7 linked regions of the Callithrix jacchus genome follow. The protein of the gene in region 7 binds, or shares a complex with, the protein of the main gene of each other region. Links are inferred from orthologs where the notes say so. Each region holds a gene or a part of one and is shown on either strand. Other genes may lie near its edges. The genes, in order: DRC10, DRC1, DRC4, FBXL13, DRC8, DRC9 and DRC5.

Region 1 (4,249 bases), on a different chromosome or scaffold from region 7:
GCTGCTGTTGAAAAATCCTATCTCAGCCTGTATTCCCACTTTACAAATGAGGAAATTGAAGCTTGGAGTGATTAACTTGCCTCTTTTAAGTTTCAATACAGGCAGTCCGAATTCAGGAACTCTCCCTGCTTAACCATTACTCTATATACACCTACGACTAGAACCAGTCCCCCGATTTTTGAATTCAAACACATCATTTTTCCAGGGAGACTAAAATGAGGCCCAGAGAGGGGAAGAGACTTGCCCAAGGTCACACAGTGCAGAAGCAGGGCTAGAACCCGGGACTCCTGAGTCCCGGTCCAGTGTTCCCTTCGCGGGCTTTGCTTCCGGCTCTAGAGAGAACCCAAATGGCCAACCCTGGGGAAAGGGCCCAGGGGAAGAGAGGGCCAGCTGCCATCCCGCTGTCCGCTGGGGCAGCTGACCCGGGCACTAGACTCCTGCGGGGTCACCTGAGGGCGCCAGGGAGAAGGGCGAGGGAGGGAGGAAGGAGGAGGCAGGAGCGCCGGCTCCAGCTCCACGTGCTCCCACACCCTGGCTGGACGCCCACGTGAGGGTCGTCCCAAGAAGTTCGGGGCGAAGAAAGTGGGTGCAAAGCCCCCGCCCGGGCTGGACGGAGAGAAGAGCGCCGAAGCCTTCCCCGCGGCCCCTCCGGGCCCTTCCAGCCCACCTCCCACACCAGAGTGCCGCTCCACAACCCCTTACTCCGAGCCCTCTGACCCCTGGTCCCTGCCCTCTCCCTCGGGCCAAGCCCTCGCATCCCTCGGATTCTTACACGCGCCGCCCCAGCAACCCGAACCATGCGCCGGGGTCCGCACCGCGCAGCCCAGCCCTCCGGCGCCGCCGCCAAAACCCCGAGCCCGAAGCTGTTGCAGCAGCCGCAGCTGCACCTACTTCAGCCACTGCCACCACGGCAGCTGCGCCAGCTCTCCCATCCGCCGCCTACCGTCCTCTCAACCCCGCTGGCTCCGCCCCTTTCCCCTTGACAGCGACCTACTGGCTAACTGGGATACCATGATGAGTTCTGATTGGTCATATCTCACGTCCTTCCGCAGGTCTCGCCCGCTGCCGATGCAGTACTCCCTGCCCGCCTCCTTAAGAAGGGGCGGGACGAATAATCCACGCCCCTTTCTCCTCCCATCTGCCCCGCCTTACTCTTTGAGGGCAACCCAGAGGGAGTCCCCAGTCTTTCCATTGGTGAAAGGTCAAAATGATGGTGCTTCTGATTGGTCAGGCTTCAGGAGGTGGGGACAACTGAGCGGAACAAGGAATTGAGTGGTGAAAAGAAAGGTCAGTCAGACGCCAAGTCCCGCCTTCTGAGATTGGCAAGTAACCTAGCAACGCAGGGACCGCTGCGATAACTGTGGCTAGGGAAACCTGGAGCCTTCAGTGCAGGTGAGTAACCAGGTAGGGAAGGGTCGCGGATCGGGGGAGATGTGGAATGGGCTTCAGCTCGCTGCCCTTTGGCTCCCTGAGGAATCAGTGGCCCTCGCTGCGATCCCGTCTCAGCTTCAGGACCCTGTTCCTCGGCCCCAGCCTAAGTCTAAACCTCTCACTCCACAGCCTGCAGGGAGCCGGCCTCCATTCTGCCCTTTCTTCCAGCCCACTTCAAGGCCCCACTCCCCCATCCCTAAAACGAGGAGGACACCAGTCCAGCAGAGTCACATCGTAGTTAACTTATTTCAAATCAAACAAGTTGGAGGGAAGTTTCTAAGTCCCCTGCCATTCCACCCAACGGCCATACGTTCCTCGGTGAGCATGCATCTCAATTCAGTGTTTAAATCAGGTTTTGTGTTGTTTTTGGCGGAGCGCGGTGGCTCACGCCTGTAATTCCAGCACTTTGTGAGGCTGAGGCGGGCGGATCCCTTGAGGTCAGGAGCTCGAGACCAGCCTGGCCAATATGGTGAAACCCCATCTCTACTGAAAATCCAAAAATTAGCTGGGCGTGGTGGCACACCTGTAATCCTAGTTACACGGGAGGCTGAGGCACGAGAATCGCTTAAACCCGGGAGACCAAGGTTGCAGTGAGCCGAGATCGTGCCATCGCACTCCAGCCTGGGCGACAGAGCGGGACTCCGTCTCATAAATAAATAAATATATAAAGTAATTTTTATTATACCACTTTTACCTTTTGTCCTAACTTTGTAATTTAACTCCCCATTCTGGTCCTTAAGATGTGATCTCAGCCCGGCGTGGTGGCTCACGCCTGTAATCCCAGCACTTTGGGAGGTCCAGGTGGGCGGATCATGAGGTCAGGAGATCGATACCATTCCGGCCAACATGGTGACACCCCGTCTCTACTAAAAATAAGAAAATTAGCTGGGCATGCTGGCAGGCCCCTGTAATCCCAGATACTTAAGGGGCTGAGGCAGGAAAATCACTTGAACTTGGGAGGTGGAGGTTGTGGTGAGCCAAGATCACACCACTAACACTCCAGTCTGGAAGAGAGTGAGACCCTGTCTCAAAAATAAATAAACTAACATATAACCTAGCAATTCCACTCAGGAATGTGTTGAGAAATGCTGACTGTATGATAAATATATTGTTTGCTAAGAAGAATGATGGCAAGGAAAACCTAGCCGTGCCCCCCCCCCAAGTGGAAAACTACTTGGGGCACTCTAAAGTAGCAAGACAGTATTTGTATATCATACACCACTTAAAATAAATCTTTAAGCGCGAGAGAGGTGACCCTGCCCCTGTGGCTCCCTCGTAGAGGATGCTTTCTGGTTTGTCTGTGATCAGTGGTGAGCAGGCACCAGGTGCCTACCTACTTTATTTTTGTTCTATGAGAAAACACAGAACACCTGTTTGTTAATAATAATCACCTATTCAGAGAGAATAACTATGTGAGTCAGAATCTGCTTGAGGCCCTCAGCCTGGAATGCTGTCAGCACCTGAGGTTCTCAGCTCTGAAAGCTGTTGGTCCCAGGATAGTCCCACTTTGCTGTTCTTTCTGGGTGTCTGCTTCTTAATGCCTTTAGCACTGCCTGGGTGGGGGTCTGTATGGCCACGCTGGTCTCTGTAGGAATGTACCCCCACCAAGTGAAAACATATGTTCCCAGAAAGACTCAAATATAAATGTTCTTAGCAACATCACCCTTAGTAGCCCCAAACTGGAAACAAACCAAATGTCATCAACAGGTGAATGGATAAACAACTTGTGTTATTTCCATAGAATGGAATATTATTCAGCAATAAAATACCATTCAGGAACAAAATACTAATTATTGCTGTAACCTGGATGAACCTGAAAACATGTTAAGTTAAGGGTTTTTGGCCCAGTGGCTCACGTCTGTAATCCCAACAATTTGGGAGGCCAAGGCAAGAGGATTGTTTGAGCCTAGGAGTTTGAGATCAGCCTGACAACAAAGTGAGACCCCCTCTTTACAAAAAATACAAATATTAACTGGATGTGGTAGCATGTGCCTGTAGTCTCAACTATTCAGGAGGCTGAGGTGGGCAGATCACCTGAGCCCAGGGAGGTCAAGGCTGCAGTGAACCATGATTGCACCACTGCACTCCAGCCTGGGTGACAGAGTAAGACCCTATCTTTGGAAAAAGCAAAAGTCAAGATTTTTCAACCTTAGCTCTGTTGACATTTTGAGCACAATAATTCTTTGTTGCGGGGGACTATCCTGCCAATTGTAAGATGTTTAGCAATAACACGAACCTCTACCCACAAGATGCCAGTAGTAGCCTCTCTCAGTTGTAATAAGCAAGTGCATTTCCTGATTATTGCCAAAAGTCTTCTGGGGGCAAAGTGGCCCCAGGTTGAAAACCACTGTGCTAAGCAAAAAGTTAGATGCCAACGATTACGTCCTGCATGATCCCATTTCTGTGAACTATCCAGGAAAGTTAAATGTGAGTAGAGGCCAGGGTCCGTGGCTCATGCCTATAATCCCAGTATTTTGGGAGGCCAAGGCAGGTGGATCACTTGAGCCCAGCAATTTGAGACCAGTCTGGGCAACATGGTGAAATCCCGTCTCTTCTAAAAACACAAAAATTAGCAAATCCTGTCTCTCCTAAAAACACAAAAATTAGCCAGGCATGGTGGTACACCCCTGTGATTCCAGCTACTCAGGAGACTGAGGTATGAGAATTCCTTGAACCTCACAGCAGAGGTTACGGTGAGCCTAGATCGCGCCACTGCACGCCAGCGTGGGTGACAGAGTGAGACTGAATCTCAAAAACAGAACAACTACAACAAAAAATGTGAGTGGAAACAGATTGTTTGCAGATTCGCTCATGGGAG
Region 2 (3,669 bases), on a different chromosome or scaffold from region 7:
ATGTGTGCCTTTCCTGGATGTTCCTCTATCTGGTATGGTGCATATATAGGGGGATGTTTTTTCATAAATATCGTCCCCTGACTATTCTTGTTTCTCAGATAATCAGGCTTAAGATGACATACCATTTACTCAGTATCATTTTCTGTGATAAGTCACTATCAAAAGGTCAACTGGTGTTCCTCTATACATTCAATATGTGTCCAAAATGTATTATTATCAACCTACAAGTGGAAGAATTCATAAATAATAATAGGCTATTCGGGGTTTGGAGAAAAACCTTCAATCTTGTCTGCTACTAATAAGAAGTCTTCTTCCACTCTGGTCCTCAGAGCCTAGCGCAGTGGTCTGGAACTTAGAATGCAATTCTTAAAGGAAGAAAGGCAGGAAGGATGGAAGTAAGGAGACAAGGAGGAAGGACAGGACATGTGAGACGTTTCAAGCAATAGGGACCTTTCAATGAGCCACGGTGTCTGCACAAAAGCAAATTGGTGCATTGTCATGAGTATTTAGGTTGGTATTATTTGTAAGAGAAAAAGGCGGGAAGCAATCTATGTGTCCATCATTAGAGACTGGTCAAATAAATCATAGTGCATCTATGCAGTGGGTAGTAAGCAGCTTAAGAAACCGTGAAAGCAGCTGGGCGCGGTGGCTCATGCCTGTAATCCCAACACTTTGGAAGGCCAAGGCGGGTGGATCACCTGAGGTCAGGAATTCAAGACTAGCCTGACCAACATGGTGAAACCCTGTCTCTATTAAAAAAAAAAAACGCAAAAGTTCTCTACGAACTGAGAAGGGGAGGTCTTCAATATATACAGCAATGTGTACGGACCACCATCATTGTGTAAAAGCAGATGGGGGATGAAAGTATGTGTGTGTGCTTGTGTGTGCCTAATGAAATTCTGGAAGAAACAATGTTACAGAGGTGGGAAAGAGGAACAAGACGATGGGGACGGAAGACCTTTGCTATGTACTCTTTTCTTGGGGAGAAACCACTTGAATGTATTAACTTTTCCCAAAAAAACGATTTAATTAAGTGTTGGTTATATTTTTACTGGTTTCTACCCCTTCAATAGAGAAAAACACATACCCATCCCTATTCTCAGCACAGAAGGGCCCAGAAGAAAGACGCTCTGCATGCTAGCATACCGATTGATCTTCCTCTTCTGCTGGGATTTAATCACCGTGCTTTCCTCATCTCTCTTCTTCAGCACCTGCAGGTTGTACTCCAATTTCTCTTGGTTTAGCTGATAAACTGCTTTCCTCTGCTGAAGATGCTGCTCAAGAATCTAAAGTTAAAAAGATTATGTGTGTGTGAATACACACACACACACACACATACTAACTCTACACCTGTATCCTTAGTATTACATACACTCATGTATTTAAAATGTCTTTTGGGGAACATGCTTCGTATAGGTAAATATTTACATAGACATCCTTATATAATCCTGTTTGTGTATGTTTATTTACCTAGCTATGTATATCCATATTCAGATGTATTATTCATCTTTGTACCTATACTCAGAAATAACAAAGATGTACAAGGTAAAGGTATTGGCAGAAATTTATACTGAAAGTAATATAAAAAGAAACTTCCCTACATTTATAAACTTATCTGCCCTGTGAATTATATCTAGAATTGTACACAAATAAAGGTATGCTCTGAAATACTATATATATATATATACACAGACTAATTGGCCCTAGCTTGTGGGCCTCTGATAAATTGTTCAAGTCATGTTAGAGGAACCTTAGGGATAAGTGCCTCAGCATGCCTTGTAAACAAAGTCTATCATGAGACTCAAGTTAAAGGCCAAGATAAAATACAAGTCAACAAACTGTAAGCTCAAATCTGTGTACCTAAGTCTAAGAAAGATCACAGAGATTTCAAGTCCAGCTAACTCTGGAAACTTTCACCAGACCCTTTAGAGATATGAGCAGCCCCTCTAAAAAACACCATAGAAATAAATATAGCCACAAAAACTTGAAGTTTCCCCACTTTGACCTTCCAGAGTGGAAGCGTTACTGTTTAACAACCCAGGTCCACTTAAAAGGACAGACACAGTCATGCTTACTTTTTGGACTTCCATTAGCTGTATTCATTCATTCAGCAAATATTTATCATGTGCCTAATCTGCATCAGATACTTTTCCAGGTGCCATTGGGAAAACACTAATGATAAGAAGCAAGAGAGAGGGAAGCCCAGTTATGGGACCAATGAGAAGAGTACAGTCCTTGGTCTTGAGAAACAGGGAAGGCATCCCTGGAAAGATGGCCTGTCTAGCCGAGGCCCAGATAATGTGCTGGAGTTACGCAGGTGACACCTGAAGGGAGAGGGCTCTAGAGAGAGGAAACAGCATATAAGAGGCGAGAGAGAGGGGGGCTGTTTTGGGAAAACCACAAGAAGTTCAGGATGTGAGACATGAGGCAAGAAATGGTCAGAAATGAGGCTGACTCCATTTCCGAGCAGCAGACCCCTCCCCAAGGCCAGGAATGTAAAGCATTTTCCTGACGCCAATGGAGGCCTACTAACAATGTTAAGCAGGGAAGGAAAATGGTTGGTCCAGTCACTGCAGAAAATCTGTGAAAAAAAAAGATCAGAGAGAGGCAAGGCTGGAGGTTGGCATGCTCCTGCCTCTCCTGAGTGAAATGCAGGAATGGGAAGGCAATTTAGTGGAGTCAGAAACTCAATAAAGCTACCATGTGCATGCGCTCTCCAGCCTCCGTCCCGTCTCCCTCTGCTAGGCTACACATCTTGCCTAGGAATCAACAGAGGAAGTGATTCCAAGTGGCTATCACAACCCGCTCTGGGTCATACTCGAGGAGGGCTCCTGGCAAGGAGGCGACACTTCATTGGGTCAGGAAGCACGTCATTTCCATGTGTGCTGTGAAATCCAGTGATCCCCACGTTGTAACGGGGAATTAGTCAAGGATATTCTACATCACCATGGCAGAGATTTTTCAACCTCCATTACGAGATGAATATTTGAATGTCTCCTGCAGAACAGAAGCATGTAGTATCTTTTAACAGATGGTAAATGAATCCTATTGGTCCCTGAGATCTAACTAATCTACCTCTCAATTTCTCTACTTGCTTTTTATTTACTTTTTCTAGTTAGACATTTTTCTTTGTAAAAACTGTTCCTGAGCACAAAAGCAGTATTTGCTCATTGTAGAAAATGTGGAAAGTACAGCAAATGAAAAAGAAGACACAGAAGAAAGGCTGCTTGATGACTGATATCTGCACCCCCGAAGATGATGTCAGTTAATATCAGCATGCTTCCCTCCAGTGTCCTTTACACAGCTGCAATCAGACTATGTCTACAATTTCATATCCTACTTTTCTCCCTCAATATTGCAGCAACAATTCTCCATGTTAGTAAAGTTTTATTAACATCATTTTAATGGTACACAATACTTTTGTTTTGTTTTAGATAGAGTCTTGCTCTGTCACCCAGGCTGGAGTGAAGTGGCATCATCTCAGCTCACTGAAACCTCCACTTCCCAGGTTCAAGTGATTCTCCTGCCTCAGCCTCTCAAATAGCTGGGATTATAGACACCCACCACCAAGCCTGGCTAATTTTCATATTTTGAGTAGAGACAGAGTTTCACCATGTTGGTCGGGTTGGTCTCAAACTCCTGACCTCAGATGATCCACCTGCCTCGACC
Region 3 (3,669 bases), on a different chromosome or scaffold from region 7:
GGGAGAGGATCACACATGACTTTTGTTTTCTTAAGAGCTCCCCTCTGAGCACATGAAGGAGGCCTGGCGCCTTCAGCATGTCTTTCTTCCATGTGTGTATGTTTCTAAGTACTAACCTATTACTTTCTCATTGTAAAGAAGTCCTGGGGTCTTAAGTGTAAGTTAAAATGAGTCTCCAGGCCGGGTGCCGTGGCTCATGCCTGTAATCCTAGCACTTTGGGAGGCCAAGGTGGGTGGATCACCTGAGGTCAGGAGTTCAAGACCAGCCTGGCCATCATGGTGAAACCCCATCTAAAAAAAAAAAAAAAAATGAGTCTCTAGCTGCTCAGCACTGGTCTTCACACTGGCGAGCTTTGTGAGCTCCCTTCCTGGTTTCCCGGATGCTCTAGTGTGCATGTGACTGTGGATTACGAACACAGGATCAGGCATAAGCACAGCTTGCTTTTTAATCTCACAGTGTTTCAGGCTGCAAATAGGAAGCGGTTTCGCTCTCAGCCACATGGCGCTCCGATTGCTCATGTAGCTGACTCCCCTGTTTCTGATCCTCTGCTGTTGTAAGCATGGCTGCCTCAATAAATGTGTCTTTGTGCCCCTGTGTAAGATTGCGTCTTAGGAAAGCCGGTGCCTAGCAGTGGGATTGTCAGGTCTGAGGGGTCCGTGTTGAGGATTGTGATCGTCTGTCCAGAGGGCCGTTCTGAGTCACACTCCTGCCAGGGTGCTGGAGGGGCCATTTCCATCCTTCCTCAACAGGTTTAAACCTGTGCACATGTGATTGGGTGGGAAACAACTCATTTAGCGTGCGCTTCTGAGATTTCCAGTGAGTAGTAAATGCTGGGTCTTGTCTCTGTCCCTGGACACTCCCTGCCTCTGCGCAGTTTCAAAGTTCTGGCCAAGGACCGGTCCAGCACCATGGGCCCCTCAGGCTTTGTCTGTGGTTTGCGTGGCTGGAGCACCTTACCTTAAGCAGCAGTGATGGGTGCTGTTTCTGTCCTCCAACTTGATTGACATTTATGAGCACAGACAGTTGTAGTGGGGTTGGCCCCTCAGGAACATCCCGTCTGTCTGTCACATCTAGACCCACCTTCAGAGATGCCTCGGGTCCTGCAGGACTTGCACTGCTGGGCTGTGCCAGCTCCCGGGTGCAGCCCTGTTTGCACAGCTCAGGGGAAGGGCATCTGCAAGGCAGCCGGTGAGACCCAGAGGACTGCTGTGTTACACAGGGACCCTTCCTCCCCGCTGTGGGTTTTGAGTAAATGCTGGGTCTTGTCTCTGTCCCTGGACACTCCCTCCTTATTAGGAAGAGGAGAGCAGAGACGTGCCTGGGTTGGAGCCTTGTTCTCTGCCAGATTTTCTTCTATTTGGATGTAGTTCCTGAAGTTATCAAAGTCAGTGCCTCTTCCTAGAGAACCGAGAGCTCAAATTTGTCAGCAAAATGTAGAGACCAAAGACACTTACAGTCTAATGCATATGGACAAGGAACTGGATTTCCGCAAATCTGGGGAATTCTGACACCAGTTAGAAGGAGTGCAGGGCCAGGTGCTGTCCTGGAGGTGCTGCAGGTATCACAGGTTGTGGCTTTGGAGAAAGCTGCGGTGTTTTAGCATGGTCCTTTTTTCTTCCAAACACTTCCAATCCTAGCACTTTGGGAGGCCAAGGTGGGTGGATCACCTGAGGTCAGGAGTTCAAGACCAGCCTGGCCATCATAGTGAAACCCCATCTAAAAAAAAAAAAAAATGAGTCTCTAGCTGCTCAGCACTGGTCTTCACACTGGCGAGCTTTATGAGCTCCCTTCCTGGTTTCCCGGATGCTCTAGTGTGCATGTGACTGTGGATTACAAACACAGGATCAGGCATAAGCACAGCTTGCTTTTTAATCTCACAGTGTTTCAGGCTGCAAATAGGAAGCGGTTTCGCTCTCAGCGAAATCTCTAAATGCATAGAGAACATTCTAGAAGGGGTCACACCACGTGTTCATAATGGTGGCCTCTGGGAACTGGGGTTAAGGGGTTCACTTTTTTGAGCTGGAGTTTTGCTCTTGTTGCCCAGGCTGCAGTGCAGTAGTGCAATGTCAGTTTGCTGCAACCTCTGCCTCCAGGGTTCAAGCATTCCGCCAGCCTCAGCCTGCCTAGTAGCTGGGATTACAGGCACCTATGACCACACCCCGCTAATTTTTGTGTTTTTAGTAGAGAGAGTTTCACGATGTTGTCCAGGGTGGTCTTGAACTCCTGACCTCAGGCGATCCACCCACCTCAGCCTCCCAAAGTGCTGGGATGACGGGCGTGAGCCACCGTGTCGAGCTCAGGCTGTTCACTTTTTTATAATCTTCGACAAAGTCTAGATTTGTTTAGAGTGCATAATTCGTAGAAAAATTAGGTGAAAAAGAATGGTTTTACTGGCTGGCAGGCGGCTGGCTCCAAGGCTGTTCTTCAGGTCCTCCATTTGTGGGCCAGGCTGCACGTGGGATCCGAGAGAGCGCATCCTCCACGGGCCCACCCGCAGCTCTGCCTGCTGGATGCCTGGGATCCCACGTCCTCGATGAACCCACAGCCCTCGCTCGGAGCCACCCATGGAGTGGCTTTCAGGGTGGGGCTGCTCTAGCTCTTACCGGGACTCATGGCTTCTAGAGACACCTTCCTGAGAAGGCTTATGCTGTGTGGACAGCTGTGCAGAGGGCCAGCATGTGGGCAGTGTGGATAACAACCGCTCGGTGCTATGGGGGTGGGCACTGTTGGAAAGCCACCTCCCAGAGAAAGAAGCGCCGTGTTTGGGTGGGAGGCAGCTTCTCCCCAGTGAGATGTCCCCAGGGGAGGGGCCTCACAGCCCACCCAGCACTGTCCCTGCAGGTGCAGCAGGAGCGGGATGAGCTCTACCAGAAGTTCACTGCTGCTATCCAGGAGGTGCAGCAGAAGACCGGCTTTAAGAACCTGGTGCTAGAGCGCAAGCTGCAGGCGCTCAGCGCTGCTGTGGAGAAGAAGGAGGTGCAGTTCAACGAGGTGCTGGCGGCCTCCAACCTGGACCCTGCATCCCTGACGCTGGTGTCCCGCAAGCTCGAGGTAGGCCCTTGAGGTAGGCCGCCCCAGTGGGCAGCCTCTTCCCTATGGCAGGACCCTTCCGTTCCGTGCTGTGCCTCCTCGGATGGGCACAGACCCCTCGGTCAACCACTGGACGGGGGCATTCATGGGCTTCCTGTTGCCCGAGAACAGAGTGGCATGGCTGTCTCTCGCTGTCTTAGCTGGTGGTCTCCTCTCATCAGTTCTGCTGAAGTCTCTTGATCTTCCCCGGACCCTGTGTGACCTCATGGTGCCTGCTAACCTCTGGGTCTCTGCTCACTCCAGTTCTCAGGCCTGGCTCATCCAGGCATCTAAGGCTCTAGTCATCTCAGTGCAGCCTGACAATGGGTGTGGGAGTGGAAAAGCCACGTGGAGTCTCTGTGGGCCTGAGCGCCTCCGTTGGTGACAGCAAGGCCCAGGTGACAGACACAGGCCTGGAGAATGGTTGTATCTCCTGAGCTCTCAGCTCAGCCACCACCCCCATCCTGGGGCAGAGAGGGTGCCGGGATGCCCTGAGATGGGCTGGGTTAGGACATGGGCAGTGCAGGGTCATGGGAGCCTGGGGACCCTCACCCCACTTTGCAGGTACTGGGGACATGAGGTCTAAGAAGAGCCCGGAA
Region 4 (4,227 bases), on a different chromosome or scaffold from region 7:
CCTCAGGTGATCCACCTGCTTTGGCCTCCTATGGATTTTTTTTTTTTTTTTTTTTTTTGGTCTACTCTTTCACTGTGGGTGTAATGGAATAGTCAGTAACGAAAGTACTAGGAAATGTAGGACTATGTTAGTGAGAGCCCATTTGACAACTGAGGATTGACATACTGAGGGAGTCAGAGAGACAGCTGGAAGGAGGCTCTTTTAAACAACCAGCTCTTGGGTGAACTAATAGAGCAAGAGCTCACTCATTATCACAGCGGAGGGCACAAAGCCATTCTGGAGGCACCTGCCCCAAAGACTCAAATACCTACTGCTGGGCCCCACCTCCAACACTGGGGATCAAATTTCAACAGATTTGGAGGGAACAAATAAAACAGAAAAAGGCAAAATGAATGAAAAGATGCATAATTCTAATAATCAGAATTTATTTTAAAAATCAAATGGTCATTCTAAAACTAAAAAACATGTCTGAAGTTAAGATTTCATTTGATATACTTAAGAGTAGACTGGACACAACATAAAACAAAATTAGTAAACTTAAAGTACAACATGAAACTCACTGTAATAAATTAAAACAATACAGCTATGGATAGAGTAAAAACTTAGAATTCTCCATCTCCTCCCCTAAAACCATTCCACAAGACAAGGCATGAATTGTCTTACAGATATACACATATATATGTACACATAAACATATATACAACATATATTAAATAATCGGACAGCTAGAACAGAATGGATAGTTGCTAAGCAACTTGCACTTTTTCTTTTTTACTTAATAATAAGTGTTAGGAGCCAGGTATGCCTAGGTGGGAAGATCACTTGAGCCCAGGAGTTCTAGGCTGCAGTGAGCAAGGATGGAGCCACTGCACTCTAGCCTGGGTGACAGACCAACACCCTGTGTCTCAATAATAATGATGATGATAATAATAATAAATCTTGGAGGGCATTTTCTTCTTAGTATTTACAGATATACTTTGATATACTTTATTCTACATAATATCTCATTCCCTTAGTCACTGTTAGGTCATTTACTATTTTTACTATGAAACAAAGTTATGATGAATATCCTTGTACATCCTTCTGAACACATGTGCAAGTATTTCTCTAAAGTAGATTCCCAAAAGTGGAAATGCTTGGTTAAAGGGTACATGTATTTAACATTTTTTTTTTTTTTGAGACGGAGTTTCGCTCTTGTTACCCAGGCTCGAGTGCAATGGCGCGATCTCGGTTCACCACAACCTCCGCCTCCTGGGTTCAAACAATTCTCCTGCCTCAGCCTCCCAAGTAGCTGGGACTATAGACAGGCACGCTCCACCATGCCCAGCTAATTTTTGTATTTTTAGTAGAGACAGGGTTTCACCTTGTTGACCAGGATGGTCTCGATCTCTTGACCTCGTGATACACCCGCCTCGGCCTCCCAAAGTTCTGAGATTATAGGCGTGAGCCACCACGTCTGGCCGAACATTTTAATATATATTTCTCTGGTACCATCCAAAAAGGGAAACGAGGGTGGGGAGGGGGAAGGGAGGAAGTCTACCAAATTGCCCCCAGAAACCGCCAAGGAGATTAGTTACTAACCTGGACTCTCCTCTTTCCTGCCCTAAACATCTCTCTCCCTCATTCTCCTCATAATGTATCTTTGCTCAAACCTCCTACTGCACCAATAGCCCCATCCCCACTCAAACACGCACATTCTTGGCCAATATCTCACCAACTATTTGTAGTAGGGAAAAAAAAGGTCAGCAAAGGCAAACTTTCTCAGCCTTCTATCCCCAAAACCTACAACACCTAGTAACTATCCCCTTCCTGTCTTCCTTCCCTTCTAATATAATGGGAGTGGGGAGCAAGTCCTTCCTCCTGTCTAAAGGCAATCCTGGTTGAGAGGGTCCTTACTTCACAAAGGGCTGGCTCCACTGACCAAAGTTCTCAGCTTCCACCCTCTCCTCAGCTAACCTCTAACTAGTTTCTGTCCTCACAGCTCCCCAAGGCTTACGCTGGGCAGAATTCAGGTCCTTATCTTAGGTGACTAGTGCTGACTCCCTACTTCTGACAACTCTTTTCATAATGCCACTCTACTGATTTTCCTCCCCACACTCTCTGGCACTTCTTTCTCACTCCTCCTCCAGTCCTCAGGCACTTCTTGTCCAAACCTTAAAAACTGAGTTTGCGTTTTCCGTCCTGGGCCTTGTGTTCTTTCCCCTGAGAGATGTCAACCACTGCCCACGTGCAGCTACCACCACCCTCTGTCTTCTCTCTCATCTGCATCCTCAGCCAGAGCGCCCACAAGTCCCAATTTGACTTCACTTTCTGGCATTCCGCCCCGCCTTCCCTCCACTCCTCCCCTAACCCGCTAATTTAGTCCCTCCTTCGGGAAGTCTTCCCTGACTCCTCCCCCTTTTAACTACCCACGTTGGTCCGAGTCTGCGCCACGCGTGTCCATTACCTCGCAGACCTGAGGAATGTAGTTCTCCTTGAAGTAGTTCTTCAGCCTCGGGTTGGCATTGCGTAGCGAGGCCATGGTCCGAGGCCTGACGGAGAAGCTGCGCTCATCCCCTCCCCGCGCGGGAACTAGGGGGCCTGGCGCGAAGGACGTTGTCCTGACAACCACGGGGCGGGGCGGAGTCGCCCCGCGCTCCACAGCCCTATGCGGGAGGGAGGGAGGCTCGCTTTACGCCCCGGGAGAAGCGACGCGTAAGCCGGCTTAGGGTTGCCGGCGGCGCCGACGTCTCCGCGTGGGGCGCGTGGTCCCAGCTGCTCCTCCCGGCGTCCAGCGCACCACCCGCCTCACCTGGTGAAAGCCTCCGGGATGCGCCCGGCCCTAGTGGGCGGTTATAGGTTTTGAGCTGGGCGGTTTCCGGGAGGCGGAGCTCAGACCCCCATTTCCTTTCTCCACAACCTAGTAGCTCTCCGGCTGCTGTGGCGGCGAGGCCCGCCTGTTCTGAAGATATCTGCGCTGGCCCAGACTAGCCTCCTGCTCGGGCCTGGCCCTGCGGCTCTGCCGCGGCGGCAGCATGGGTGGCGCCCGGGGCGTGGGCTGGGTGGCGGCGGGCCTACTCCTCGGCGCCGGCGCATGCTACTGCATTTACAGGCTGACGCGCCGTCGGCGGCGGGGCGACCGCGGGCTCGTTCTGCGCCCCTCGCAGTCCGCAGGTGAGACCGCCGGGTGCTGGAACTGGGCTGAAGGGCTCCCCAGGCCCGAGTGGTGGCTTGTGTGTCCTTGAGGTAAAATGAGGAGCCGAGCTAGAGGGAGAGGCGATACTTGCGTGGGTGCAGGGTGCTGCGTCGCCCCGCTGCGCCTTTGTTCGCTATACCGGCATGAAAACTTGTCCATGCTTCTTTGTTCACTATACTGACATGAAAACTTGTCCGAGCTTTCCGGCCCGAGCGCCGCGTCACAGTGGAGGATTAGGTTTCTTAAAAGCCTGTTGATGGCCTCTCTTCAAAGCGTGCTCCGGGCCTTTGTGTAACTAAAGGGATTCTCCAGATTGTGGAAAGGCTGTTGAGGGGCCGGGAGCGGTAAGTGAAGCTCTGCTTTCAGGTTCCCTGGAAGAAGGGACGCCAGAGGGACAGTTGTGCGGGCGCTCGGCCCGGCCTTAGAGGGGAGGTCCCTGGGAGTCACAGTGGTCCAAGACCTCGAAGCCTGATGTGTGTTTTGGAAATGGGAACAGTTGTCTGCGCGAGACACACCCTCCTAGGGGACAAATGCGTGATTCGGTTTCTGTCCAAAAGTTGAATGGTACGTTAAAACTCTCAGAAAGGATATTTCACATCATGGAAGCTGTTAGGGAAATAATTTAAAGTATCACATCTGCCATCCAAGAAACTCCTGTCCACAACTGCAGAAGAAAACTAAACAGCTTCATTGTTAAATAAGCACAAACTAGATTGCCTCACCATCTCGGGCAATTTGCTAATGGGCACCTGGTTCCACATCATAAAGATATTTTTACTTTTGCCCTGGATGAAGGCAATTAGCTAACACAACTAGAGAGAGAGCCTGTCTCAAAAATAATCTCATACTGATTTTATATAACTTCAAATAACTTTCTTCTTATGCAGAAGACTTAACTGATGGTTCGTATGACGATGTCCTGAATGCTGAACAACTTCAGAAACTCCTTTACCTACTTGAGTCAACTGAGGATCCTATAATTATTGAAAAAGCTTTGATTACTTTGGGTAACAATGCAGCCTTTTCAGTTAACCAAGTAAGTACCTCGACTC
Region 5 (4,414 bases), on a different chromosome or scaffold from region 7:
ACAGTGGCGCGTGCCTGTAATCCCAGCTACTCAGGAGGCTGAGGCAGGAGAATTGCCTGAACCCAGGAGGCGGAGGTTGTGGTGAGCCGAGATCGCGCCATTGCACTCCGGCCTAGGTAACAAGAGCGAAACTCCGTCTCAAAAAAAAAAAAAAAAAGCTGTCTTTGATTAATTCAAATGTTCTGAATTCAACAAATATGTATTGATTACCTACCATGTGCCAAGCACTCTGCACAATATTCAACATTAACAGATCAGAAATGGTCGCTGACCTTTTGGAACTTACAGGGTAATGAACATATCCTTCAAAATTATCCTCTCTTTTGTGTGATTCCATGGTCATCAAATGACTTCTGAAATATAAATTCACACTACCCAAAGCTTAGTACCCATAAAACAGTATGTTACATTACCAAAATCAGCCTTCAGGTCAATGTATATACCACTATTTAAACTAATAAATCATTCAGGTTTGCACATCAGTCTTTTATGAGTTTAGCTGAGTGAATCCTCAAAACTTAATTCGGATTAATTGGCTAGATGTAATTTATGAAAATTCAAAATAGAGTAGCTGAAAATCAAATATAGTAATGGACTATTTCCATAAAAAGTCTTATCAACAAAGTGAGTCTTTACTTATTTTATCCTCTGACAAAATGCCTTTAGTTCATCATACCCTTCAAACTGCAATTAGTTAATTCATAAAACTGTAAACCATAAATGAGATATGCCATATGAGTACTTCCCAAACTTTAATGTACATACAAATCACCTACAGATACGTTAAAATGAAGACTCTGATTCACTGGTGGGGGGCAGCCAGTAATGCCCAGGCTGCTGTCCGCAGACTACAAAGACACACACCTAACACAGTGGCTGGCACGGAGTCCACGCAGCGCAGTTAACTATTCCCTCCCATTCGTATGCATCTCAGCTCCCTTACTGAGCTCAGCTTTCTTGGGAGCTAAGACAATGTCTTTTTCATTTTTGTATCTTTCAGAGTTCTAAGCAGAATGCCTTATCTACATGAAGTTATTAAATATACGGATTCTGAATGAATGGCATCCAGCTTTTAATAGTCATTACTTCTTCTGTGAGTTGACAGAATTGCATCTCTGAATTTTTCTTAAATAGAAAAATATTGTTCAAAAGTTGAAAAACCAGGAAAGCTCTCAATCTATTTTTTAAAAACGATAAATACTGTATTAGTACCATATTCCTGTTTGTGTCTCATGCTGACCTAACCAAGTGTTTTTTAAGAAAACAAGTATCTGGCTACTTGGCCCCAAAAGTCAAAAAAAAGAAAACAAATATCCATAATTACTTTTCTAGTCTCTCTCTTAATGGTTTTCCTTTTTTTTTTTTTTTTTAATAAGGAACAAAAATAATTTATTCATTTTTCTGGGGAAATCTTAAAAGTAACCTTTTCTGTGTATGTAAGGGCATCTTCATCACGGTAATACCTATAAAATAATCCCGGCTTCTCAGATTCATATCATATAAAATCACAGGATTCTTGCTATCAATAGGCAGACGCTGGCAGTTTCATGTCGCCGCCTATTTTCTGTGATCACCTTAACAAGTGACTAAATAGCTCAGGGCTCGTTTATTAGCTGTGAACCTGACCACACTCGGTTCCATGCGGAGAAAAACGGCACGAGAGGGCGTTGTGAGGATGCGAGAAGGCAAGCAAAGGGGGAATGTATTTTCACTTCGTAGTTGTTCAGTTTCACGGGTTTTGGGACATTGTTTTGTCTTGGTGACTTTGCCAACTACCAAACGCAATTATTCTTGAGAACCTAAGGTCTTGGTAACCGAGGATCGGGTTTTGATCACATCATAAATTATACCACGAATTGAAAACAACATGAACGGTCTGGCCAAGAAACGTCATCCCTTTTTGGCGTCTCGGCGCAGGCAACACATTGACGCCTCTTGATCTGGCGACCTTACGCCTCGAAGCGCACAGCGCCTCTGCAGGCGGCCACCGCGCGGGGCCGGGGGTCCCCGGGGACCGCGGGAGAGGCCCCCCCGCCCCCGGCGTACAGCGGCTCCGCGGTCTCGGCGGGGTTTTGGTGTTTCGTCTTTATTAACATTGCCGTTTGGGTGTATGTCTTTGTTGTGTGTGTTTTTTTTTTTTTTTTTAAGAGTCCAGGCCGGTTGCTCGGCGCCGGCCGGCCGCAAGGCAGGCATTTCCGAGGCAGGAGAAGCTCGGAGGCAGCGGCTGTGACCTCCAGACCGTCCTCCCGCGTCCTCATTAAGAAGGCAAAATGGTGGCGGCGAACGCCATCAGGCTGCGCCAGGGCGGGTTTTCGGCGCCAACAGGATCGCGCCAAATTCTGGCGGCCAGAACGCGTCCTCACCCGGCCGCCCCCGGGGCCCACAGCCTGGACAGCTAAGGGCGTGGCGCCTGCGGCACCGAGAGCCCAGGAGGGTGCGGAGGCGGCTGCTGCTTCCCCGCGGCACTGAACAACGACACCATTATCAGCAGCCCCGTGGCGGCGCCTCCGCTGCAGCCCGCGCCGGAGCCCAGGCCCGGCCTCCGAGGGAGGGGAAGAAGGACGCGGCGGGAGGAGGAGGGAGGGGGGAGGAGGGAGGAGGGAAGAGGGGGGGAGGGGGGAGGGGAGAGAAGGGGGACTGGGGAGGGAGGAGGCGGGGCGGAGCGGCGGAGACGGGGCCGCGCGGCTGCCCCTGCTGGGTGGGCCCCTCCTCAGGCCACCCGGTCCCTGCGGGTGGGGACTCCAGATGGACGAGGGCCCACCCCCACCCGGCGCTGCGCCCAGCAGCCCGGGGTCGCGGCGGGCGGTGAGGGCAACGGCTCCCCGGCTCCCCGGCCTTACCTTCCCTGTCCGTCTCGTCCGCCATCTTGCTACGGTCGCCTGGGAGATGCCTAACGACAACCTCAGCCGCGGGGTCCCGGCCGGCTTAGCGCCCCGCGGCCAACCTGGCCGGGAGGAGGGGCCGCCCCGAATCGCGGGGGAGGAAGACCCTGGGGCGGGGCGCCCGGGGCGGGGAGGAGGCTCGGAGCGCGCGCCCGGTCCCGGCTTCCCGCCGCGACCCTCGCGCAGCGGGAAGACCAGAAGCGCCGTCTGCCAGCGGCACCCGCGCGTCGCGCCACCCGGCCCCCAGCCTTGTCCCTGCGGACCCGAGGCCTAGCAGTGTCCCTGAGTCACACGGCCCCCAGCCCCTCCTGTCCCTTATTTCTCATCCTTTTGGGGGCCGCACGCGCGCGCACACACACCCCTCTCCCCCTCCGGTCCTGTTGGTGCGACGTGGCGTGGCTCGGTTTCTGTTGTTAACTGCAGATTTTGAAAAGCAGCCAGAGAGTAGGTGAAGAGCTGGGCTCCCACGGCGGGGACAGAACCAGCCCGCGGCCCGGCTGCTGCAGAAACGCCGCTCCTGCCTCCCGGTTTCCCCCGGCCAGTCCTCACCGCCCTTTCCCGGAGAAAGCCACAGCGCAGCCTAGGACGGCTGAAGCTCAAACGGAAAAACTGGGCCGAGGAAGAGGAAGCCAGAGCCATTCGATTGCTATTACTAGAGGAGAGAAATAGCTGTAGAAAAACATGCGCAAAATAGGCGCAAACATTGCGTCGTCAAGGCTGCAATTTCTAATCAAAATAGAAGGTTCTCATAGCAACAAAAACGTGCCCGTGTTATGCTCAGTATTACATGCGGTAAAACGTTCTCAGGTGAAATTGAACAGGACCGCTGGTTAAACTTATAATGGAAGTTTTAAATTCTGCTTTCAGGAAACTTTGCAGCTATAGCATGAGGTTAAATTTTTGTCTTATTTTCAGGATAAGTTTACTAGAACGTTTTTCTTTTATAAAGAGCTTTGAAGAAAATACCGAATGATGTGGTTCGAATGAATACCTGTTTTCAAAACTAATCTTAAAGGGTATTTCAGTGCATATGTTATGTAAAAGCAATTTATAAACTATTAACTGTACCTTTAAAGAGGCCTTCAAAATACAAGGTACTCGTATTTAATGACTGAACAATTTGAATGCTTGTATTCTGGTTCTATAATCTCTCAAATCCTAAAACTGACTATATTTTTCTTTGTTAACGTACTTTTTCTGTAGAAGATACCCATTGGATCAGCACCAAATTGAAATTGAATAACTTGAACAGAATATGAATTCAATATTGAATTGAGTTGAAACTGAATATAAACAACTGAATCATTGCAAAATGGCTCGTGTTAGAAATTGAATATAAACAACTGAATCATTACAAAATGGCTTTTGTTAGAAGATGGTTGAATACAGTCTTGTACAAAAAATGTTTAACACACCAAAAATAATGAAAAGTAATTATTAGCATTCCTTTATCTAAATCTCATAGTTGATATGATCTAAATATTTGTGTTTAAAGACTCCCTCTCTCCATATGCATAATGAAGGGCTTGGAA
Region 6 (3,669 bases), on a different chromosome or scaffold from region 7:
ATCCCAGCACTTTGGGAGGCTGAGGCGGGTGGATCATCAGGTCAAGAGATCGAGACCATCCTGGTCAACATGGTGAAACCCCATCTCTATTAAAAATACAAAAAATCAGCTGGGCATGGTGGTGTGTGCCTGTAATCTCAGCTACTCAGGAGGCTGAGGCAGGAGAATTGCCTGAACCCAGGAGGCGGACGTTGCGGTGAGCCGAGATTGTGCCATTGCACTCCAGCCTGGGTAACAAGAGCGAAACTCCGTCTCAAAAATAAAATAAAATAAATTAGCCAGACATGGTGACACACATCTGTGGTTCTAGCTACTTGGGAGGCTGAGGCAGGAGAATCACTTGAGCCTGGGAGGTTGAGGCTGCACTTTAGCCTGGGCAGCAGAGCAAGTCCCAGTCTTAGAAAAATAAGAAGAAGAAAGAAAGAGTTGCAAGACAAAGTTAAGGAAATCTCTCTAAGAGCAGAATAAAAACAATGCTGATGGTAAATGAGCAAAAAAGGACGAGAAAAATGCAGGATCAATCATTACTGGATGAACATCTAAAGGGAGTTTCAGGCCGGGCGTGGTGGCTCACGCCTGTCATCCCAACACTTTGGGAGGCCGATGTGGGTGGATCACTTGAGGCCAGGAGTTCGAGACCAGCCTTGCCAACATGGTGAAACCCCATCTCTATTAAAAATACAAAAATTAGCTAGGTGTGGTGGCGCATGCCTGTAGTTCCAGCTACTTGGGAGGCTGAGGCAGGAGAATCGCTTGAACTGGGAGGCAGAGGTTGCAGTGAACTGAGATCAGGCCATTGTGCTCCAACTTGAGTGACAGCAAGATTCTGTCTCAAAAAAAAAAAAAAATGGAGTTTCGGAAAGAATTCCTAAGTTGAAAGGTCCTGGAAAAGAAAAACTTTCCTTGTCATTCATTTGTTATTGTTCAGTGATTTTCAATGAATTCAATCTTAAGAAAGACTAACAGAGAAGGAAGAATAGTCTTGATGTATTGTAAATACAGATAATGAAGGCCCAGCAATCTGAATTATTGTCCCAGCAGAACTAGGAAGAAAACCCAAATTCTGACTTCTAGTTATCTTCCCTGGAAAGCAAATGGTTGGTTTGCTTTAGAATCAAGGATTTCCAGTACGAGTGTTACAGCACTTTAAAATGCAGCAAAGCAAATAACCCTAACGGTATTCTTACCTGGCAATGATACCACAGAAATACGGTATTCTCACCTGGCAATGACACCACAGAAATACGGTATTCTCACCTGGCAATGACACCACAGAAATACGGTATTCTCACCTGGCAATGACACCACAGAAATACGGTATTCTCAACTGGCAATGACACCATAGAAATGCGGTATTCTCAACTGGCAATGACACCATAGAAATGCGGTATTCTCAACTGGCAATGACATCATAGAAATACGGTATTCTCACCTGGCAATGACACCATAGAAATACGGTATTCTCACCTGGCAATGACATCACAGAAATGCGTTTTCTTCCCCCTCTCTTTGCTCAAAGCTTGCAGGAGATTGTTGAAAGTGCCCGAATCTTCCAACTCCTTAATGGTATCTGCAATCACATCACTGAAAAACTGCCTGAGAGGAGAAACAAAACAAAAAAAAGATGAGTTAATACATTAAATTTTCAAGCCAGGTGCAGCGGCATGTGCCTTAATCCCAGCTACTTGGGAGGCGGAGGTGGAAGAACTGCTTGAGCCCAGGAGTTTGAGATCAGCTGGGACAACATAGCAAGACCTGGTTTCAAAACAAACAAAATATGTATGTATATGTATATATATTTCCCTATATTCACAAAGGGCTACAGACGTCACACAAGTTAAGACCCAGGCCAGGCGTGGTGGCTCATGCCTGTAATATCAGCACTTGGGAGGCCAAGGCAGACAGATCACTTGAGGTTAGACGTTTGAAACCAGCTTGTATTTTGTATTTCCACGGGGAAATACAAAAATTAGCCAGGTGCAGTAGTGCGTGCCTGGAATCCCAGCTGCTCAGCAGGCTGAGGCGGGAGAAGTGCTTGACTCTAGGAGGCGGAGGTTGCAGTGAGCTGAGATTGCACCACTGCAATCCAGCCTGGGCAACAGAGCAAGACTCTGTCTCAAAAAAAGAAAAAAAAAAGTTTGATTAGGTCTTTAAAAAATTTTTTTTAAATGATTTAACTTTTTTCAAAATTATGAAGTATTTCAAAAATTTAGAAAGTATAATGAATATTTCTGCATATAACACAAAATTTAAATATTTTACCATGGTAGAGACTTGGTTTTTCAGACATATGTCAAATATATTTGAAGTCTCTAATCCCAGTCCCTCAACCTTCCCCAAAGACAACCACTCTTCTGAATCCGGTGATGATTATTCTCTGGCATGTTGTGATACTTTCATTATGTGTTTGTGCATTTTATTTAAATAATACATGTAGTTTCACTTTTTTTTTTGAGACAGAGACTCACTCTATTAGCCAGGTTTATGGTGGTGCTAAGAGGTTTTTGCTGTTGGTTTTTAAATGATGAATGTATGTGGAATTTTGCCAAATGCCTTTTCTGCATCGCTTGATCTTTCTTTTTATTTCTTCTTTTTTTTTTTTACATTTTCCAAAGCTAAACTATTTTTGTCTTCCTGGGATAATTCCAATTTCATTATGATTTTTGAGATGGAGTGTCGCTGTGTTGCCCAGGCTGGAGTGCAGTGGTGTGATCTTGGCTCACTGCAACTGCTGCCTTCCAGGTTCAAGCGATTCTCCTGCCTCAGTCTCTTGAGTAGCTGAGATTACAGGCACACACCACCACACCTGGCTAATTTTTGTATTTTTAGTAGAGTCAGGGTTTCACCATGTTGGCTGGGCTGATCTTGAACTCCTGACCTCATGAGGAGGCACCACTACACTCTAGGATGGGCGACAGAGTAAGACTCTGTCTGCAAAGAAGGAAAAAAATAAATGAAAGGGAACTTTGTGATTTTTAAAAATTATTAATTAATGTATTTATTTATTTAGAGATAGAGTCTCACTTTCCAGGCTCAGGTGATTCTCACATCTCAGCCTCCAGAGTAGCTGAGACCATAGGCACGCACCATCATGCCCAGATAATTTTTTTTATTTTTAGTAGAGATGAGATTTCACTGTTGCCCAGGCTGGTTTCAAACTTCTGGGCTCAAGCAATTCTTCCACCTTGGCCTCCCAAAGTGGTAGAATCTCAGGTGTGAGCCACCACCTCCAATCTATTGTCATTTTTATGTCTTTAATATTGTGATTTCCACTTTGATTCTGGATAACTGTGGAAGATGTACATTTCATGAGTATACCCTGGGTTTTTTTTTTTGAGACGGAGTCTCACACTGTCACCCAGGCTGTATTGCAGTGAAGTGATCTTGGCTCACTGAAATCTCCGCCTCCTTGGTTCACTGCCTCAGCCTCCCAAGTAGCTGGGACTACAGGCGTGCACCACTGCGCCCAGCTACTTTTTTTGTATTTTTAGTAGAGACGGGGTTTCACCATGTTGGCCAGGATGGTCTCGATCTCCTGATCCTGTGATCCGCCTGCCTTGGCCTCCCAAAGTGCTGGGATTACAGGTGTCAGCCACTGCACTCGGCCACGCTGGGTTTCATATGGAATATAAACCTAAAACTAATCCCCTACAAATAATCTGAGACTGG
Region 7 (3,669 bases):
ATCCAGTAATGGTGCCTACTTTTTTTTGCCTAAAACCCTGGGGTGGTGTCCCAGAGCTGGTAAGGATAAAGACAGCCTCTTGAACAAGGCCTCCTTTGCCCAGCAAGGCTGATCACTGACTGCCTCTCTGTTTTCGTCCCACCCTCCTCACTCACACTCTGCTCCAGCCACACGTCTTCTCTTTCAGTCCCTAGAGCTGGCCATGTTCACTCTGCCCATAGAGCCTTAGGCACTGCTCCCTCTGCCTGGAGTGATCCTCCCTCTTAGACTATAACTCTTATTCCTCCTTCTAATCTCTATGTAAGACATTTGTTCAGGGACCTCTTCCCTTGCAAGGTCAAACGCTCCTTTATAGTCTCTCATAAGACTATCACTTCTGGCCAGGTGCGGTGGCTCACACCTGTAATCTCAGCACTTTTGGGAGGCTGAGGCAGGCGAATCACAAGGTCAGGAGTTTGAGACCAGCCTGGCCAACACAGTGTAACCCTGTCTCTACTAAAAATACAAAAGTTATCTGGGTGTGGTGGCGGGCGCCTGTAATCCTAGCAACTTGGGAGGCTGAGGCATGAGAATAGTTTGAATGAGGCGGAGCTTGCAGTAAGCTAAGATAGTGCCATTGCACTCCAGTCTGGGCAACAGTGCGAGACTATGTCTCAAAAGAAAAAAAACAAAAAAGTATCTCTTCTTTATAGCATTTATACCAATTCAGGGGTACCAGAAAAAAAATACATGATTCCCAGTTAAATATAAATTTTAGATAAATAACAATGCCCCATGGAATATTCAGAACATACTTATACTAAAAATTATTTTTTGTTTATCTGAAATTAAAAAACTTTTTGGAGACAGGGTCTCATTTTGTAACCCAGGCTTGAGTGCCATGGTGTGATTGAAGCTCACTGCAGGCTTGAACTCCTAGGCTCAAGGGGTTCTCCCACCTCAGCCTCCTCAGTTGCTGGGAGACTACAGAGTGAGCCACTATGCCTGGACCTGAAATTCACATTTAACTGGATGTCCTGTATTTCTCTTTGCTAAATATGGCAACCCTATTCTAGTTTCAATTTTATGTTTATATGACTGTTGATTAGTGCCTTTATCCCATCAGACTGTTAGCTACAGAGGGAACAAACGATCTTGCTCATCGTTTTATTTTCAGCACCTAGGACAGGGCCTGGAGAGCAGATGTTTGCTAAATGAAACAAACTGGTGAACTGGGAGGGCAGCGCCTTGTTCATTTTTGCACACCCAGAACCGTGTAGCTTGGCGCAGGGACCATTAAAAACCACTTGGCCAATGAAAGAGAAGGAAATGGGAAAATGGTAATAACGGAGGAGGAAGATGAGGGGAGAAGGAGTCTGAGAGATGGGGAGAGGAAATCTGAGAGATGCTGAAAGGGATGGGGTGAAGGCTGGGGGCAGACAGTACCTTGAGGGTGTGGCATGCCTTGATGGTGGCTGCTAAGGAGTGACAGTCGTGGTAGGTGAAGAGGAAGAGATTCCACTCGAAGTTCATGCCGCAGTCCTTGACACCGTACACCAGGTCCAGCTCCTCCAGGTGGCTCAGGCCAGCTACCAGATCGCCCAGTTGGTAGTGGTCCAGGGCGGGCTCTTCCATTTCTCCCTCGCTGCCGGAGTCCGACTGGTCCCCGGTCTGGGGCTGGGCCAGGAGCCGCACCGGCGGAAGGAACTGATCGACGTGGACCCTGCGCACATAATTCCTGCAGAGTGGCAGCAGGTCGAGGATCACTGCGGGGTCCGTGGTGCCTGGGATAAAGTGCTTTAGCAGGTTCTCCAGGTGCCGCTCAAAGAACATGCGTTTCCAGCTGCCGCCATGCTCGGCCACGTGGCACACGGGCCAGCGCTGCATGCAGCAGCGGAGCCAGTAGTTCTCATCGTCTATCAGGTTGGCGGTCACAGCTAGTGGTAGGTCAGGGGACAGGTGGTTCAGGACTTTCTGCTGGTGCTCCGGGAGCAGCTGCTTCAGGATAGGGTTTCCTATGGGAACAGAGGAAGGAAAGCAGGAGGTCACAGTGTTGGGGGACACCTCACCATGATGCTTCAGGCTAGGCCTGGCTCAGGGCACTGGGCAAAGGGAAGACCCTTTCCTCTGCTCTCAGGGAGGCTCTATTGGACGGGGAGACCTAGCCTTTAGCTTTGGGATGTTCCCTACATGAAGGTGGACATCTCATCATCTGTTCTCAGGTAGCTCCGGGACTGAGGCAGACTCTCAGGTTCAACTCTCAATTATCACCTGGTCTGATGGGGGATACAATCTCTGAGGTCAGAGGCTTCCAATCTGATTTGATTCATCGATTTCAAAACAAGAAATTTTTTGAGCACCTACTATGTGCTAGACACTGAAGGTACCACTATGAGAGACTACTATGTCCCACATGCTGGAGATATAAAAGCAAGCAAAGGCCGGGTGCGGTGGCTCAAGCCTGTAATCCCAGCACTTTGGGAGGCCGAGGCGGGTGGATCACGAGGTCAAGAGATCAAGACCATCCTGGTCAACATGGTGAAACCCCATCTCTACTGAAAATGCAAAAAATTAGCTGGGCACGGTGGCGCGTGCCTGTAATCCCAGCTACTCAGGAGGCTGAGGCAGGAGAATTGCCTGAACCCAGGAGGCAGAGGTTGCGGTGAGCCAAGATCGCCCCATTGCACTCCAGCCTGGGTAACAAGAGCGAAACTCCGTCTCAAAAAAAAAAAAAAAAAAAAAAGCAAGCAAAACAGAGCTCATCCCTTTTGGAGTTTAAATTCTAGTGAGGGGAGGCTGACAACAAACAAGTAAAATGAATGAGACTGGGTGACAATAGTTACTGTAGATGAAATGATCGTCCTGTCCTCAGAGAGCTCCTCATCTGGTAGGAGAGGCTGGCAACCCATCTTTGGAAAGGATCTATATTACAGAGCACAAAATATAGAACAAACCAAGAGCCTTTACATGGCATGGAAGACTCCATCAGAGTGGGGGGCGGTTCACTTGGGAGGGCTTTCTGGAGAAGGAAGTAGATGTGGCTCAGACTGGGTTTTGCTGGAGAGAGTGGAAAAGGCAAGGAGAGAACAGAGGCATGGCGGGTCCAGTGTGGGTGGGAGGCTGGTGGGACCTGCCAGTGGGAACAGCAGGAGAAGCTGTCTTGGCCCTGGGGTGGAAGGGAAGTGTTGAGGGGGTATGAGGATGTCATGTGGGAGAGCAGGGGCTGCCCTGGGACCCAGCTTCTGCAGTCTTGGCTCCAGACAGTCCCTACCCACCTTGCCCCACTCCTGGCCTTCTTCTTCCCACCCAAAACAGGGACAGACTCACTCTGGAAGTTCTTGATGATGTGCTGAATGCAGAGCTCTGTGAGGAGGGGCACGATGGTCAGAGACCACTCAGGATCCTCAGCAATGATCCGGCGCATCCGATGGAAATTGGCCCCAGAATTTGGGTTCCTGGACTTTGCAGGCACTGGTGTGATTGAAGAAAGCTTTGAGGGCTGTGGGCCTGTGCTTGAAGTGTGGCCTCCAGTGGAGGACTTGTCCTGGGTGGAGACTGAGGAGTGGCTGGGGTCCAACAATGCTGATGTTACATTATCCTGCATGCTGGGGGCTGGCAACGTAGGGGCAGGTGGCCCCTGGATGCCCTTATGACAAGAAGCTTCTCAGACTGGCAGACCCTTGATACAGG

Evidence for each region.
Region 1: DRC5 (region 7) and DRC10 share a complex: the UniProt entries of both Homo sapiens proteins name them as parts of the nexin-dynein regulatory complex. The link is inferred for Callithrix jacchus from reciprocal best matches to the Homo sapiens genes DRC5 and DRC10.
Region 2: DRC5 (region 7) and DRC1 share a complex: the UniProt entries of both Homo sapiens proteins name them as parts of the nexin-dynein regulatory complex. The link is inferred for Callithrix jacchus from reciprocal best matches to the Homo sapiens genes DRC5 and DRC1.
Region 3: DRC5 (region 7) and DRC4 share a complex: the UniProt entries of both Homo sapiens proteins name them as parts of the nexin-dynein regulatory complex. The link is inferred for Callithrix jacchus from reciprocal best matches to the Homo sapiens genes DRC5 and DRC4.
Region 4: DRC5 (region 7) and FBXL13 share a complex: the UniProt entries of both Homo sapiens proteins name them as parts of the nexin-dynein regulatory complex. The link is inferred for Callithrix jacchus from reciprocal best matches to the Homo sapiens genes DRC5 and FBXL13.
Region 5: DRC5 (region 7) and DRC8 share a complex: the UniProt entries of both Homo sapiens proteins name them as parts of the nexin-dynein regulatory complex. The link is inferred for Callithrix jacchus from reciprocal best matches to the Homo sapiens genes DRC5 and DRC8.
Region 6: DRC5 (region 7) and DRC9 share a complex: the UniProt entries of both Homo sapiens proteins name them as parts of the nexin-dynein regulatory complex. The link is inferred for Callithrix jacchus from reciprocal best matches to the Homo sapiens genes DRC5 and DRC9.

What each region holds. Positions count from the first base shown.
Region 1 is NC_133510.1:116,197,082-116,201,330, reverse strand, and holds the start of DRC10 (dynein regulatory complex protein 10), read left to right. Parts: upstream 1-1,351; 5' UTR 1,352-1,392; intron 1,393-1,725; exon of another isoform or gene 1,726-1,749; intron 1,750-4,070; exon of another isoform or gene 4,071-4,209; intron 4,210-4,249. UniProt on the Homo sapiens protein: Component of the nexin-dynein regulatory complex (N-DRC), a key regulator of ciliary/flagellar motility which maintains the alignment and integrity of the distal axoneme and regulates microtubule sliding in motile axonemes.
Region 2 is NC_133515.1:88,561,220-88,564,888, forward strand, and holds part of DRC1 (dynein regulatory complex protein 1), read right to left. Parts: intron 1,287-3,669; coding exon 1,147-1,286; intron 1-1,146. UniProt on the Homo sapiens protein: Component of the nexin-dynein regulatory complex (N-DRC) a key regulator of ciliary/flagellar motility which maintains the alignment and integrity of the distal axoneme and regulates microtubule sliding in motile axonemes.
Region 3 is NC_133521.1:47,675,381-47,679,049, forward strand, and holds part of DRC4 (dynein regulatory complex subunit 4), read left to right. Parts: intron 1-2,842; coding exon 2,843-3,052; intron 3,053-3,669. UniProt on the Homo sapiens protein: Component of the nexin-dynein regulatory complex (N-DRC), a key regulator of ciliary/flagellar motility which maintains the alignment and integrity of the distal axoneme and regulates microtubule sliding in motile axonemes.
Region 4 is NC_133512.1:73,437,703-73,441,929, forward strand, and holds the start of FBXL13 (F-box and leucine-rich repeat protein 13), read right to left. Parts: upstream 2,818-4,227; 5' UTR 2,522-2,817; coding exon 2,447-2,521; intron 1-2,446. Other genes in the region: ARMC10 (armadillo repeat-containing protein 10), read left to right, coding at 3,015-3,153, 4,063-4,211. UniProt on the Homo sapiens protein: Substrate-recognition component of the SCF (SKP1-CUL1-F-box protein)-type E3 ubiquitin ligase complex.
Region 5 is NC_133520.1:41,227,987-41,232,400, forward strand, and holds the start of DRC8 (dynein regulatory complex protein 8), read right to left. Parts: upstream 2,945-4,414; 5' UTR 2,944-2,944; coding exon of another isoform or gene 2,866-2,943; coding exon 2,841-2,865; coding exon of another isoform or gene 2,762-2,840; intron 2,761-2,761; coding exon of another isoform or gene 2,746-2,760; exon of another isoform or gene 2,655-2,745; intron 1-2,654. UniProt on the Homo sapiens protein: Component of the nexin-dynein regulatory complex (N-DRC), a key regulator of ciliary/flagellar motility which maintains the alignment and integrity of the distal axoneme and regulates microtubule sliding in motile axonemes.
Region 6 is NC_133518.1:81,458,512-81,462,180, forward strand, and holds part of DRC9 (dynein regulatory complex protein 9), read right to left. Parts: intron 1,597-3,669; coding exon 1,468-1,596; intron 1-1,467. UniProt on the Homo sapiens protein: Component of the nexin-dynein regulatory complex (N-DRC), a key regulator of ciliary/flagellar motility which maintains the alignment and integrity of the distal axoneme and regulates microtubule sliding in motile axonemes.
Region 7 is NC_133505.1:52,749,751-52,753,419, forward strand, and holds part of DRC5 (dynein regulatory complex subunit 5), read right to left. Parts: 5' UTR 3,584-3,669; coding exon 3,307-3,583; intron 1,995-3,306; coding exon 1,426-1,994; intron 1-1,425. UniProt on the Homo sapiens protein: Component of the nexin-dynein regulatory complex (N-DRC) a key regulator of ciliary/flagellar motility which maintains the alignment and integrity of the distal axoneme and regulates microtubule sliding in motile axonemes.